Canis lupus familiaris: one gene and its partners. The protein of the gene in region 3 interacts with the protein of the main gene of each other region in a pairwise test. Links are inferred from orthologs where the notes say so. Each region holds a gene or a part of one and is shown on either strand. Other genes may lie near its edges.

Region 1 (3,748 bases), on a different chromosome or scaffold from region 3:
TACTGATTTTAAAATTTCTTCTAATAGTTTTCAAAATGGAATTTTGCTTTGCTTTCTTCTTCCCTCAAATCCATAACGTACCTACCTCCAAGTATCATAGGACGGAAGCACACATGACGCTGCTAGCCTCCCGCCTGGGACGGGCTAAGGACTCCATTCAGTTCACAAGACCCTGTTACTGTTACTTTACAAAAGGCTTCCCCGGGCACCCCTTGGATGCCGCCCCGGGGGGAGGGGATTCATAGCATATACTCCAAGTTTTAGGGACCCAGAGGACAGCCAGCTACATTAGCAACTACGAGGGTAGAGGAGACAGTGAAACCACACCGGGAGAAGAATGGAAGGAGAGGGAGACAGATGGTGCGTGTGTTGGGGGAAGGGATCAGAGATCCAGGAAAACTTCTGTTCCCTGAATCGCAAGAATGTTTCCATTTAACCACTTCTTGTCTGGCTCCTGATTCTACATAAAAGAGAAGCGGGGAGTTTTAGGGTTTGGGGCCACCTGCACCAAGAGCCTAGGCGCGAGGTGGAGAGCCGGGAGCGCGGGGAAGCAGCGGCGAGCGGGTCTTGCTCGGGCCACCCGGGCCCCCGCGCGCGTCCGGGGCCCAGGTAAGGGGCGGTGCCCCCTCCCGGCTACCGGGGCTGCGGGCGGTCCGGACAGTCCCACGAGGGGGCGCGTCTCGGGTCCTAGGATCCGCCCTCGCAGCGCCGGGCGCGGGGAGGGGACCCGGGAGCCCAGGCGCCCGGCGCTCCGCCTCCCGTTTCCGGGGCAGCGCGGTTACCTGCACGGCCCGAGCCGCACCTGGCGGAGGCCGGAGTCGCCGAGCGGGCGCAGAGCGGCGCGGCGCAGAGCGGCGGAGAGGGCTCGGGCGCCCGGCCAGGGGGCGGCGGCGGCGGCGGGGAGCAGGCGGCGGGGAGCAGGCGGGGAGCAGGCGGCGGGGAGCAGGCGGCGGGGAGCAGGCGGCGGCGCTCGGCTCGCTCTGCCCCGCCGGCCGGGCGCGTCCCCGGGCCCGCACCGCGCCGCGGCGGGCGCACATGGCAGCGTGAGAGGCCGGCGGCGGGAGCGCGGGAGCCCGGGAGCGGCGGGCCGGAGCCGCAGGGCCGCATGGACCGCGGCGCCGCCCGGGCCGGCCCCCACTAGGGCCCCCAGTCCGCGGGCGCCAGCCTCCCCCCCCATCATGGTGCCTCGGCGGCCGCCCGGGCTGGGCACGGCCGGCCGGAGCCGCTGAGCCGGGGCCCCCGCGGCGGCCGGGAGCTGCATGGGGGAGCGCGGGCCGCGCTCGGGAAGATGCCCCGGCCGGAGCTGCCCCTGCCGGAGGGCTGGGAGGAGGCGCGCGACTTCGACGGCAAGGTCTACTACATAGACCACACGAGCCGCACCACCAGCTGGATCGACCCGCGGGACAGGTAGGGCCCCGGGGAGCCCCACACCGCGCGCTCCGCCCGGGCCCCCTCTTGCCCCAGGGGCCACCCGCGGGGACCGGGCAGGGGCCGCCGGGGAACTCTGCGAGCCGCTTGCGCTTTCTTCAGTTGGCCGCCCCCCCGCCGCCCTCGCCCCCCCCCCCCGCCCCCGTCCCCATCCACGTCCCCATCCCCATCGCCCGCCGTCTGGAGCGCTGCTCCCGCCGGGGTGGGCTGCTGGAGGGGGGCGCGGCCAGGGGCCCGGGCGGCCCCCGCCGCCGTCCCCGATGGAGGACTTAGGCCCCAGCCGGCACCTGCCCAGAGTTTTGACCTTAAGCTCTAGCCCCGCCTCCCCCGCCCCCTTTAGGACGAGGTCGGGCGGGGGCTGGGGCAGCAGCCTAGCGGAGCGTTTCTGGGGCTTCCCGGAGAGGCTTTCCCCAGTGTGTGTGTGTGTGGGGCCGGGGGGAGATGGGGAAGCATCTGGTTTGGAGGGGGTAGTAGGGACCCAGGATTCAGTGGGAAACTGCTGGAAGGACACTAGGCGGAGGGGAAGGCAGCCTGGAGTGTGGTCTTTGACAGGTGCCTGGGAGGCTCGGGGAAGAGCACGGGAGCAGCCAGGGGGCCTGGAGGCCGGGAGTGGGAAGGAAAGGAAGAGGGCGGGGGAGGGCTGATCGGAAGACTGGTTCTCCAGGAATCTTAGAGCAACTTGGAAGCTGTTAGGATATAGATGGAGGTGAGAGGCCTCCCACAAAGCCCTGCCCATCACCTCGTTCTCCACCCTTTCTTCCTCTGGGGACCGAGACTCCTCAGTCCTGCACCAGCGCGTCCTGACCTTGGTGGGCACCAAGCGACTGTAGCACGGATTCTATTTTATTTTTTCTGTGGCAGGTGGAGTCTGAGGTGACTGCTCAGAGCTTCCAGACTTTCTCCCGGTTTTGATTGCTTGTCATTTCTTTGCACACACCCTCCCCATGTAGGGGTGGGGGGAAGAAGGGGAGGAAGAGGACCACCCTCTGAGATTGCTTTGTTGTCCTTGTTGGCTTGGTCTGTGGTCAGTGTCTTAGGAATGTGGAATGTTCACCTGGTCTGTGCGACCTTGAGTGTCAGGTGCCTGTAACGCAATAGAGGTGAATTTTTTGGATCTTTCGACCTGTAGGGTTGGGATGCAGGTCCCAGAAGTCCAAGATGGGGTGTGTAGCAAGGTGTGGGTTTTAAAAAAAGGCAGAAAGAAAATTTGAATTGAGATGCCCCGTAATTTCTGTGAGCGCTCTAAGTTCACTCATTTAACATTTCTTGGGTGCTTGCTTTATTCTCAGTACCACGCTGGATGCCTCTTTGATATAATTTAGAAGAGAAATTTAAAAAGGAAAAGTTCTCTGCCCATTGTGGGGCTTGAACTCAACCACTCTGAGATCAAGATTCGGGTGCTCTACCAACTGAGTCAGTCTGGTGGCATTGGAAGATAAATTTTTAATGCTAGAGAAAGCATCCCATGAGCAAGCTGCTTTAACCTCTGAGCCTCAGGTTCCCCGTTGGTCAGATTAATGGTTTGTTTGGAAGAGAAGTAATCGTAGAACTCTGAAAGTTGGAAGGGACATAGATGATCAGAGCCCAGCTCTTATTTTCAAACATAAGAGAAAATTTGAGGTCCAGAGGTGTGACTTACTTGAATATCTTCATCTTTCCACCACTCACCATATGCCAGATTCTTTACCATCTCTGAAGTTCTAACCTCCAGATTTGTCCTGACTCACTTCTCTTCCCTGCCCCACTCAGGGTCATCTGTCCCAGGGACGCTGTTACGTGTTGGAGAACTGGGCAGCCCCTTGTTCTCTTCCAGAAGAGACATAAGTTCAGTCTTCTGTTTCCTGCCTGGTTTTGGTCCTTGCAACTTACTGAGGCCAGTGTGCTGTCAGCAGTTGCATGTCAGAGGACTAGGACAGCCCCACACCCAGCGTTGCTAACTCACCCTCGGTTGTGAATCTAGGGACTTCTCTGGGGCTCTGAGAGGAATACAGCTCTAGAAAGCTTCTCAAACAACAGGTAATTTTCTACCCCTGGAAAAGGACAAGTGGAAAATTGACTTGGCTAGAGTATTATTTTTCAAATTTTAGTACCATATGAACCACCATAATGATTTTCTGCTATATTGACTTGTACCATTGCTTACTTAATATTTGACTTTAAATCAACTAAACGTGAAAATTTTTTTAAAGATTTTATTTATTTGAGAAAGAGAAAGGGAGAGAATGAGTGGGGAGAGGGGCAGAGGGAGAGAGAGAAGCAGGCTCCCCTTTGAGCAGGGAGCACACCATGCGGCTCAATCCCCGGACCCTGGGATCATAAC
Region 2 (3,748 bases), on a different chromosome or scaffold from region 3:
AACACAACTAGAGAACCCTATAAACTTTTTGTTACCAAAGACAGTATGAAAAGTCACATTTTTATAAAAGGAGTCTTGATCTATTTTAAATTTTGCAATAGCAATGCTCCTTTTTATGAAAATAATTCACTCCAGTATGTATAAAACAGTTAAGAAGACTTTAAATTATAAATACATATTCACATGATTTTTTTTAAATTTCAAGCTTTAAAAAAATCCAAAGTAGTCTGTGAAAAATATTCAACACCACAGAGATACATTTAAGAAAAAGTAATTGTTTAGACTAAAATTCCACATTCTAAAAAAATCAAATAATGAGTGCTTCTTGCCTCCTTCCTTCTTTTTTAAAGTTATACTTTAAGGATTTTATTTATTTGAGAGAGAGAGAGAGAGAATGAGTATGGGGGAATGGAAGAGGGAGAGGGAGAGGGAGAAGAAGATTCAGCCCTATGTGGGGCTCCATCCCAGGACCACAGGATCATGACCTGACCCTCCTAGGTGCTCCCTCTTTTTTAAGTTTTTATTTTAATTCCAGTTAATGAATAGTGTTATATTAGTTTTAGGTGCTGCCTCATTCCTTCTTAAAAGCAGTCATCTTTTTATGAGTTTCTTAATAGAAATGATTCCTTTCTAGAAATAGAAATAGATTCCTTTAAGCACTGTTAACTAAATGTCTTTGACTCCTTTTTCTCACAGTGGACAGTATGATGAATAAATACAATTAAGTGTGAATAAACTAGTTTCTCAGTTCACAAATAAAGCCTAGTCCTGAACACAGAAAGCAGTTTCCATTAATATCTAGTTCTGTAGTTAATCCTCAAAAGATCGAAACTGTGATTTTTTAAGCATAGGAAACGAGGCCTAGGGAAATCAAGCTCCTTTTTTTCACATCCTAGTTAGTTAACGGTAGCTTAGAGACTGAAGACACTCTTGCCTTGTAGTCTGATTTATGAGTACTGGGTTCCCATAAAAGAATAAGCTAAAAATGCCAAGACAAAGAAACGCTTATTTCAAAAATGGCCAATAGCACAATCTGTCTCTCCTCCCAAAACTCATATGCATGGCAGATTTTTGTGCTGCTAATGCTACATGAAGAAAATGTAGGCCTAATCTGTCCAGTCTTCCATCTCAGTGCAAAGGAAGGGGCTGAATTTAAGTGGAGCTTGTTCTGTACGGCCTCATCCGGCCAACAGGCAGAGCTCCAGCTCCCTCGGGCTCCGCAGGGGAAGAGAGCCCAGAAAGAAAGAACCATCACCAAACCCCACCCTGCTATATCTTAGGTAAATAAAAACCACGTAAATTAAAAAAACAAAAACAAAAAAAAGAGGGTGTAAGAGCAAGCAATGGGTGCTCCTTCAACGGTACACCCGTGCACATTTCCTGATCCTCTATCTCCTTTTGCTCGGTGTCCCTAATGCTTCCACCCTGGCATGGCTTCTGCATCCTGTGTTGATCTCTCCTTTGACTCGACCCAGTAGGTATGGCCTTCAACTTCATGGGCACCGACAGAGCGGGTGTCAAGACCTGGGAGAGAGACGCGTTTCCCAAGCCTTAGTCCAGCACAATCCAGCAGCACATCTTTATTTCTAGGCAACTTCCCCACCGCTCTTCCCCCCTCTCCCCCGCCACCAGCGCATCGGCCCCCCAAGACCTCCTCCTGGGTGTCCTCCGACCCCGTCCAAGCTGCTGTGAGTCGGCGCCCATCCCTCCCGGGCGCGGGATAGCCGGGCCCTGGGTCCCAGCCCCGCGCCCCGCGCCCCGCGCCCCGCGCCCCGCGCCCGCGCCGCCACCCCCCGGCTCCCGCAGCGCTCTCACCTCATCCAGGGTGCGGCGGCCGCCGCTGCCTCTTCCTCCTCGGCCGCCGCCGCCCAGCTGCCGGCCGCCTCGGGATGCCGTCGCTCCCGGCCCGGAGACTGCAGAGAGGGCTGCGGGGCTCGCGCCGCGTCCCCGGACCGGTAAGGCGCGAGGTGCGCGGGGCAGCGGCGGCGACAGCAGGACCCACCGTCCGCCCTCTTCATGGATTTCCCGGGCCCGACCGCGGTCCTCCTGGCCTCGGTCTTCCTACGGTCCTCCCGCGCCGCCCGGGAGCATCCTCCAGACGTGATGGTGGCGGAAACCTGCAAGGGCCAGGCCTCTTCCGCGGCTGCCTCTGCCACCTGCTCCGCCCAGACTGCTTCGGGGCCTCGCGCACAAACACCGCCGCAGCCTCCTCGCCCTCTCATCAACCCATTCTCTCTCCACCCACTACCTCAATCTGCAAACCTTTTCATCCCCGATAGCACTCCTTTTTGTCTTCCAATCTCCTCCAAGGTCACTGTCCTCAATTTCCCACCTTAAATGTTTCTCTTTTTCTCACGCCCTCTCCCTGTGATTTCCTGGGTTTTGCCTTCCTCCTCCCTCCAACTCAGTCATCTTTCTTTGCTCAGAGTCACTATTTTTCCAGGCCCCTGGCTAACCCCATTTCTCCTGCTTTCCCTCTTTTTCCCTCTTAAAATCTTTTTTTCCCTCTCAATTTTCCCTTTTGTTGTTGTAAAAACAAACAAACAAAACCTTTCCCCCAGAAAAAACACAGTTTTTCTTTCTTTCCCTTGAGACTCTGATTTCCATTTTTCATAAAGAACTCAAAGTATAGATCACTTGATCTCCAATATCAAGTCAAGGGGATGTATTCATGGTTTTAAAAAAGTTCGTAGGTCAAATAAATCCTCCACTTAATGTTCTTTCTGAAAAGCCCTTTCTTATATCCCAGTGTCCTCTAACAACAGAAGCTATTCAGAATCTAGCAGAGCGAAATGCTTCTGCTGCACTATATACTCACGGCTTGCAACAGAGGTTCATCTTGGTAGTAGGCACCATGGATCTCAAAGTTTACAGGCAAAAGTCAATATGGACTGTTGATGGATTCAGTGTAAACAAAGAAACTCATTCTTAACACATTTTCCTCCCAAACCTGCTGTTCAGTCCTCCCCCCCCCCCCTTTTTTTAACCCAATACTATCATTCACCTGGGCACGGTCAGAGACTTATCTCTCTCACTCATTCGCCTCATCCAGTCTTTAATTCTACTTCTTTACTATTTCTTTGAGTGTTCCCTCCAATCAGGATTCCAAATGTTTCCAGAAAATGGCACTATCAGGTATCTCACCATTCGTTCTTTCAAACCTCCCAGCTTAATCTGTCTTTACCTCTGTTTTCCCTTCAACCTATCTTACCTGGGCAATTTACCCTACCATTCCCATCTCTGCTAGAGACTCTTAATTATCTTCTGTTGTCTTTATATCTTTGGCATCACTTTCTCCATTAAGTCCACCCCTCTGCTATAAACATCCCCAAGTCTCCTCATGCCTAAAATAGAGTCCTCCCACCTCAACCTCTAACCACCATCATCTCTGGCTTCCCTTCATAACCAACTTGCTTAAATACACTGTATTCATTTGATAGCTATACTTCCTGATTCCCATTCATTCTTTACCACATCATTCTTTGCAACCCGGCTTCTTATTACTTAGACAAAGCTGTTCTCCTAGCCAACTGACTTTGGCTTTGCCCACAGAAAGGCAGTAGGTTCGATATAATATACAAAATAAAAGTAATGAATTTCCTTAATTTTTTGAGATTCTTTTATTTATTTTTCATGAGAGACACAGAGAGAGAGGCAGAGACATAGGCAGAGGGAGAAGCAGGCTCCTCAAGGGGATCCCAATGTGGACTCAATCCTGGGACTCCGGGATAACACTCTGAGCTGAAGG
Region 3 (3,648 bases):
TCCAGAAATTTATAAGTTGATTTAGAACTTACTTTCCCAAAGAAATTAACGATAAATAATGGTTAATTTTTTAGGCTAGCTCACAGTTACTTGAGTTTCCTTATTAATGCAGTTGAAATACTGTATGTTTGCTACCTCAGAATATAACTTAACCGAACACTGCATCTGTGGTGTCCCCTTTTAAGTCACAGACAGGATAGTGTAAACATTAAGCTTATGGCATGAATGGTCTGGTGCCAGCCTTGACCCATGTGGTGCTAGGATCATATTTTGGATTGTATGAGAGTGACTTAATTTCCTAGGCACCTGGGTGGGAGAAAGGATCAGAATGTAGAGATTGAATCCCAAAGAGGAAGATGGTTGTCAGCCTGAAGTTTTGATTTCTGCTTCTCTTGGTGGAGCTAAGCTCCTGCCCCAGTATTTAATAAGGCTTATATCTTATTTGCCAGCTGAATAGACTGGATAGAAAAGGTGGGTTGGGTGGCGTGATAGGAGAGGATGGCATAGTAGTTCTACTTAAATTTAAAAACTCCAAATAAAGCATGTGATGTTGGAAAGCAGTTAATGAGTGTAAGTCATATGTTTGAAGTAAGCCAAGGTGTTGTGGAAACTGTATCAAAGTATGAGACAGTGCTATGAAAACTAGAAACACAAAAAATGTGAGGTGTTATTGTCTTAATTCAGATAATTTCAAAACCTCTAATAAAGTATAAAAAACATTTGATAGTTGAGAAAGAAGGCATATGATCATGTTTCGTTTAGGTTACCTTTTTCAAGCATTACTAGTCTTGCATAATTAAAGTATAGTAGAATTTGGTGACTTAGGGAATATTGAATGGGATAAAGTTAACCAAATAATGAATAATCGGTTGTGAAAGAAGAACAGCTTTCATAATCAAAGGCTGAGAGTTAGCTTGTGTTTTTCAGACACTAGAGGTTAGTATATCTAATGTGTAAATAGGATATTCATGCTAGATGACCGAATAGTGTGTAAAATGGTATCTTTTTGATAGGTATGAGTGGCTGGATCCAAGCATTAAGAAAACAGAGTGGTCCAGAGAAGAAGAAGAAAAACTCTTGCATTTGGCCAAGTTGATGCCAACTCAGTGGAGGACTATTGCGCCAATCATTGGAAGAACAGCTGCCCAGTGCTTGGAACACTATGAGTTTCTTTTGTAAGTCAGTTTCCAAAAGTAGTATTAAAATGTGTGTATGTTTCCTGAAGGAGGCCAATAAACTTTTAGCACTGTTCTGTATTTAAACATACAGTTGCAGATCTGAGTAAAGGCAAAGGAACTAAAACTATTGAATTATATATACTCTTAAGTCTCATGTGGTTGATTGAAATTATATACTTCTTATATACTTTTTAAAAGAAGAAATATATAAATTATATATATTTATTCTGGATAGTCGAGGAAAAAATTGTAAAAAAAGCAAATAATCACCCATAGTCAAAAGAGAGGTAACTGGGATATCCTGAGTCTTTATTAAAAGTTTTTATTTGTAAATCTTTCCTGTATTTGCGATTAAGGAGCTACTTGGATTGTATTTTATAGTGAAAGGAAACACTCATTGAAATGAGAATTTTAATACCATCTCTTTCAGGTGAAGCAATAGTAGAATCACTTTATTTTGTGAATGCCCATCTGTTGGGTTTTTGAAAGAAGAGAGTGCCAGCGCTAGAAAACCTGGTATAGCTAAGACTGAATGATAGGATAGTGTGACTAACTTTTCTGGGCCTTTTTCTAGGGATAAAGCTGCACAGAGAGACAACGAAGAGGAAACAACAGATGATCCACGAAAACTTAAACCTGGAGAAATAGATCCAAATCCAGAAACAAAACCAGCGCGGCCTGATCCAATTGATATGGATGAGGGTGAGTGAGTGTATGCTCCTGAAGAATTTATTTTTTATTTTTATTTTTCAATTCATGTAATAAATTAAGCAGTGTAATGCTACTGGACAGATTTCCTTTTTTTTTTTCTTTCTTTCTTTCTTTCTTTCTTTTTTTTTTCTGGGTAGATTTCCTAAAGGCTAGTAGTAAGCCATTGAGGGAGTCTGTTTTCTCTTTCCTGTTCGATGGGGAGAGGTGGTGGCGGCAAGACAGGATTTGGGGTTCCAGTCCGATTAACTTTTTTGACTTCAGGCGGGTAATTTAATCTTTGTGGAAAGACAGCACTGCAGTATTATGAGGGAGACTCAGGATCCCTTTTTCAGATATTGAGTCAAGAATCAAAGGAACTGGATTTTAGTCTTATGTCTGCCTCTTACTACCTCTTTGACCTTAGGCAAGTCATATAATCTTTCTGAGATTTGATTCTCTTTCTTGCCAGATAGAGAATAATAAGTTATCTTACCCTACAGGGTTGTTGTGATGCATTCAGTGGATATTTGTTGAGATTTAAAAATTTTAAAGTTTAAAGGTAGTGATTTCCACCTGCATAATGATCATTTGGTGAACTCTTATTTTTTTATTATTTTTATTTATTTTTAAGATTGATTTTATTTGAGAGAGAGTGACTGAGAGAGATTAGGAGCAAGGCAGAGAGGGAGAAGCAGACTCCCTGCTGAATAGGGAGCCCGATGTGGGGCTCGATCCCAGGACCCTGAGATTATGACCCAGGCTGAGGGCAGATGCTTAACTGACTGAGCCACCCAGGTACCCCCATTTGGTGAACTTTTAAAAACATAGTTACCAGGGCCTCCCCAGGAGTTCAGAGTCAGTAAGCTGGAGTCAGGAGGGGGTAATTCTGGAATTTTGAGTATTTTTTTTTAAAGTTCTCTTGTGATTCCACTGGACAGCCTTATGTAAGAGTTGCTTTAAGGCATCAGTAATTAAATCTGTTTTACTCTAGGAGCCATGGAAATGTATTAGAAGAGAGAAATAGTTCTGAGGGAAAAAGTGTAACTAATGGAGATTATAAATTTCTTTGTAATTAAATAGTAGGTTTTTTTTTTTTTTTAAAAGAATTTATTTGAGAGAAAGAACCCATGCATGAGCAGTGGGGAGAGGCAGAGGGAGAGGAGAAGCAGACTCCCCACTGAGCAGAGAGCCGGATGCAGGGCACAATCCCAGGACCCTGGGATCATGACCTGAGCCAAAGGCAGACGCTTAACTGACTAAGCAATGCAGGTACCCCAAATAGTAGTTTTTATGATAGTTTTTCATGATTGGTGCTGTGCCAGTTGATGATAATGAAGAATATAATTATATGATAAATATGCTTTACCTATTATGTTTTACTTGGTTCTTCTCCATATTCTTGTGAAATAGTACTTATTTTATTTTTATAGATGATAAACATGGTCAGGGAGAGTAAATTAACCAGGGTCACATAGCTACCAAGTACTGGGCCTCGTTTTTAACTTTGGTTTTTCTGACTTCAAAACTCAGGCTATTTCCATTATATAACACCATATAATGGTTACATTTATGGTTTTTCTCTTCTTAAGCAGTACAGTTTGTCTCTCACATACCTTGTTTCTGTTGGAGAACTTAGTTTTTTTTTTTTCTCTATATTCTTGCAGATGAACTTGAGATGCTTTCTGAAGCTAGAGCCCGCCTGGCAAATACTCAGGGAAAGAAAGCCAAGAGGAAAGCAAGAGAGAAACAATTGGAAGAAGCAAGGTATGGTTGTTTCCAT

Evidence for each region. The genes of interacting proteins can lie anywhere in the genome.
Region 1: the proteins of CDC5L (region 3) and WWC1 interact in a two-hybrid assay, tested with the Homo sapiens proteins (2 studies listed by BioGRID and IntAct). The link is inferred for Canis lupus familiaris from reciprocal best matches to the Homo sapiens genes CDC5L and WWC1.
Region 2: the proteins of CDC5L (region 3) and PDE4DIPP2 interact in a two-hybrid assay, tested with the Homo sapiens proteins (2 studies listed by BioGRID and IntAct). The link is inferred for Canis lupus familiaris from reciprocal best matches to the Homo sapiens genes CDC5L and PDE4DIP.

Annotation. Positions count from the first base shown.
Region 1 is NC_049225.1:44,321,111-44,324,858, reverse strand, and holds the start of WWC1 (protein KIBRA), read left to right. Parts: upstream 1-1,226; 5' UTR 1,227-1,288; coding exon 1,289-1,407; intron 1,408-3,748. UniProt on the Homo sapiens protein: Regulator of the Hippo signaling pathway, also known as the Salvador-Warts-Hippo (SWH) pathway.
Region 2 is NC_049238.1:57,721,246-57,724,993, reverse strand, and holds the start of PDE4DIPP2 (myomegalin), read right to left. Parts: upstream 2,238-3,748; 5' UTR 2,223-2,237; coding exon 1,816-2,222; intron 1-1,815. UniProt on the Homo sapiens protein: Functions as an anchor sequestering components of the cAMP-dependent pathway to Golgi and/or centrosomes.
Region 3 is NC_049233.1:12,976,402-12,980,049, forward strand, and holds part of CDC5L (cell division cycle 5-like protein), read left to right. Parts: intron 1-1,013; coding exon 1,014-1,175; intron 1,176-1,752; coding exon 1,753-1,880; intron 1,881-3,532; coding exon 3,533-3,632; intron 3,633-3,648.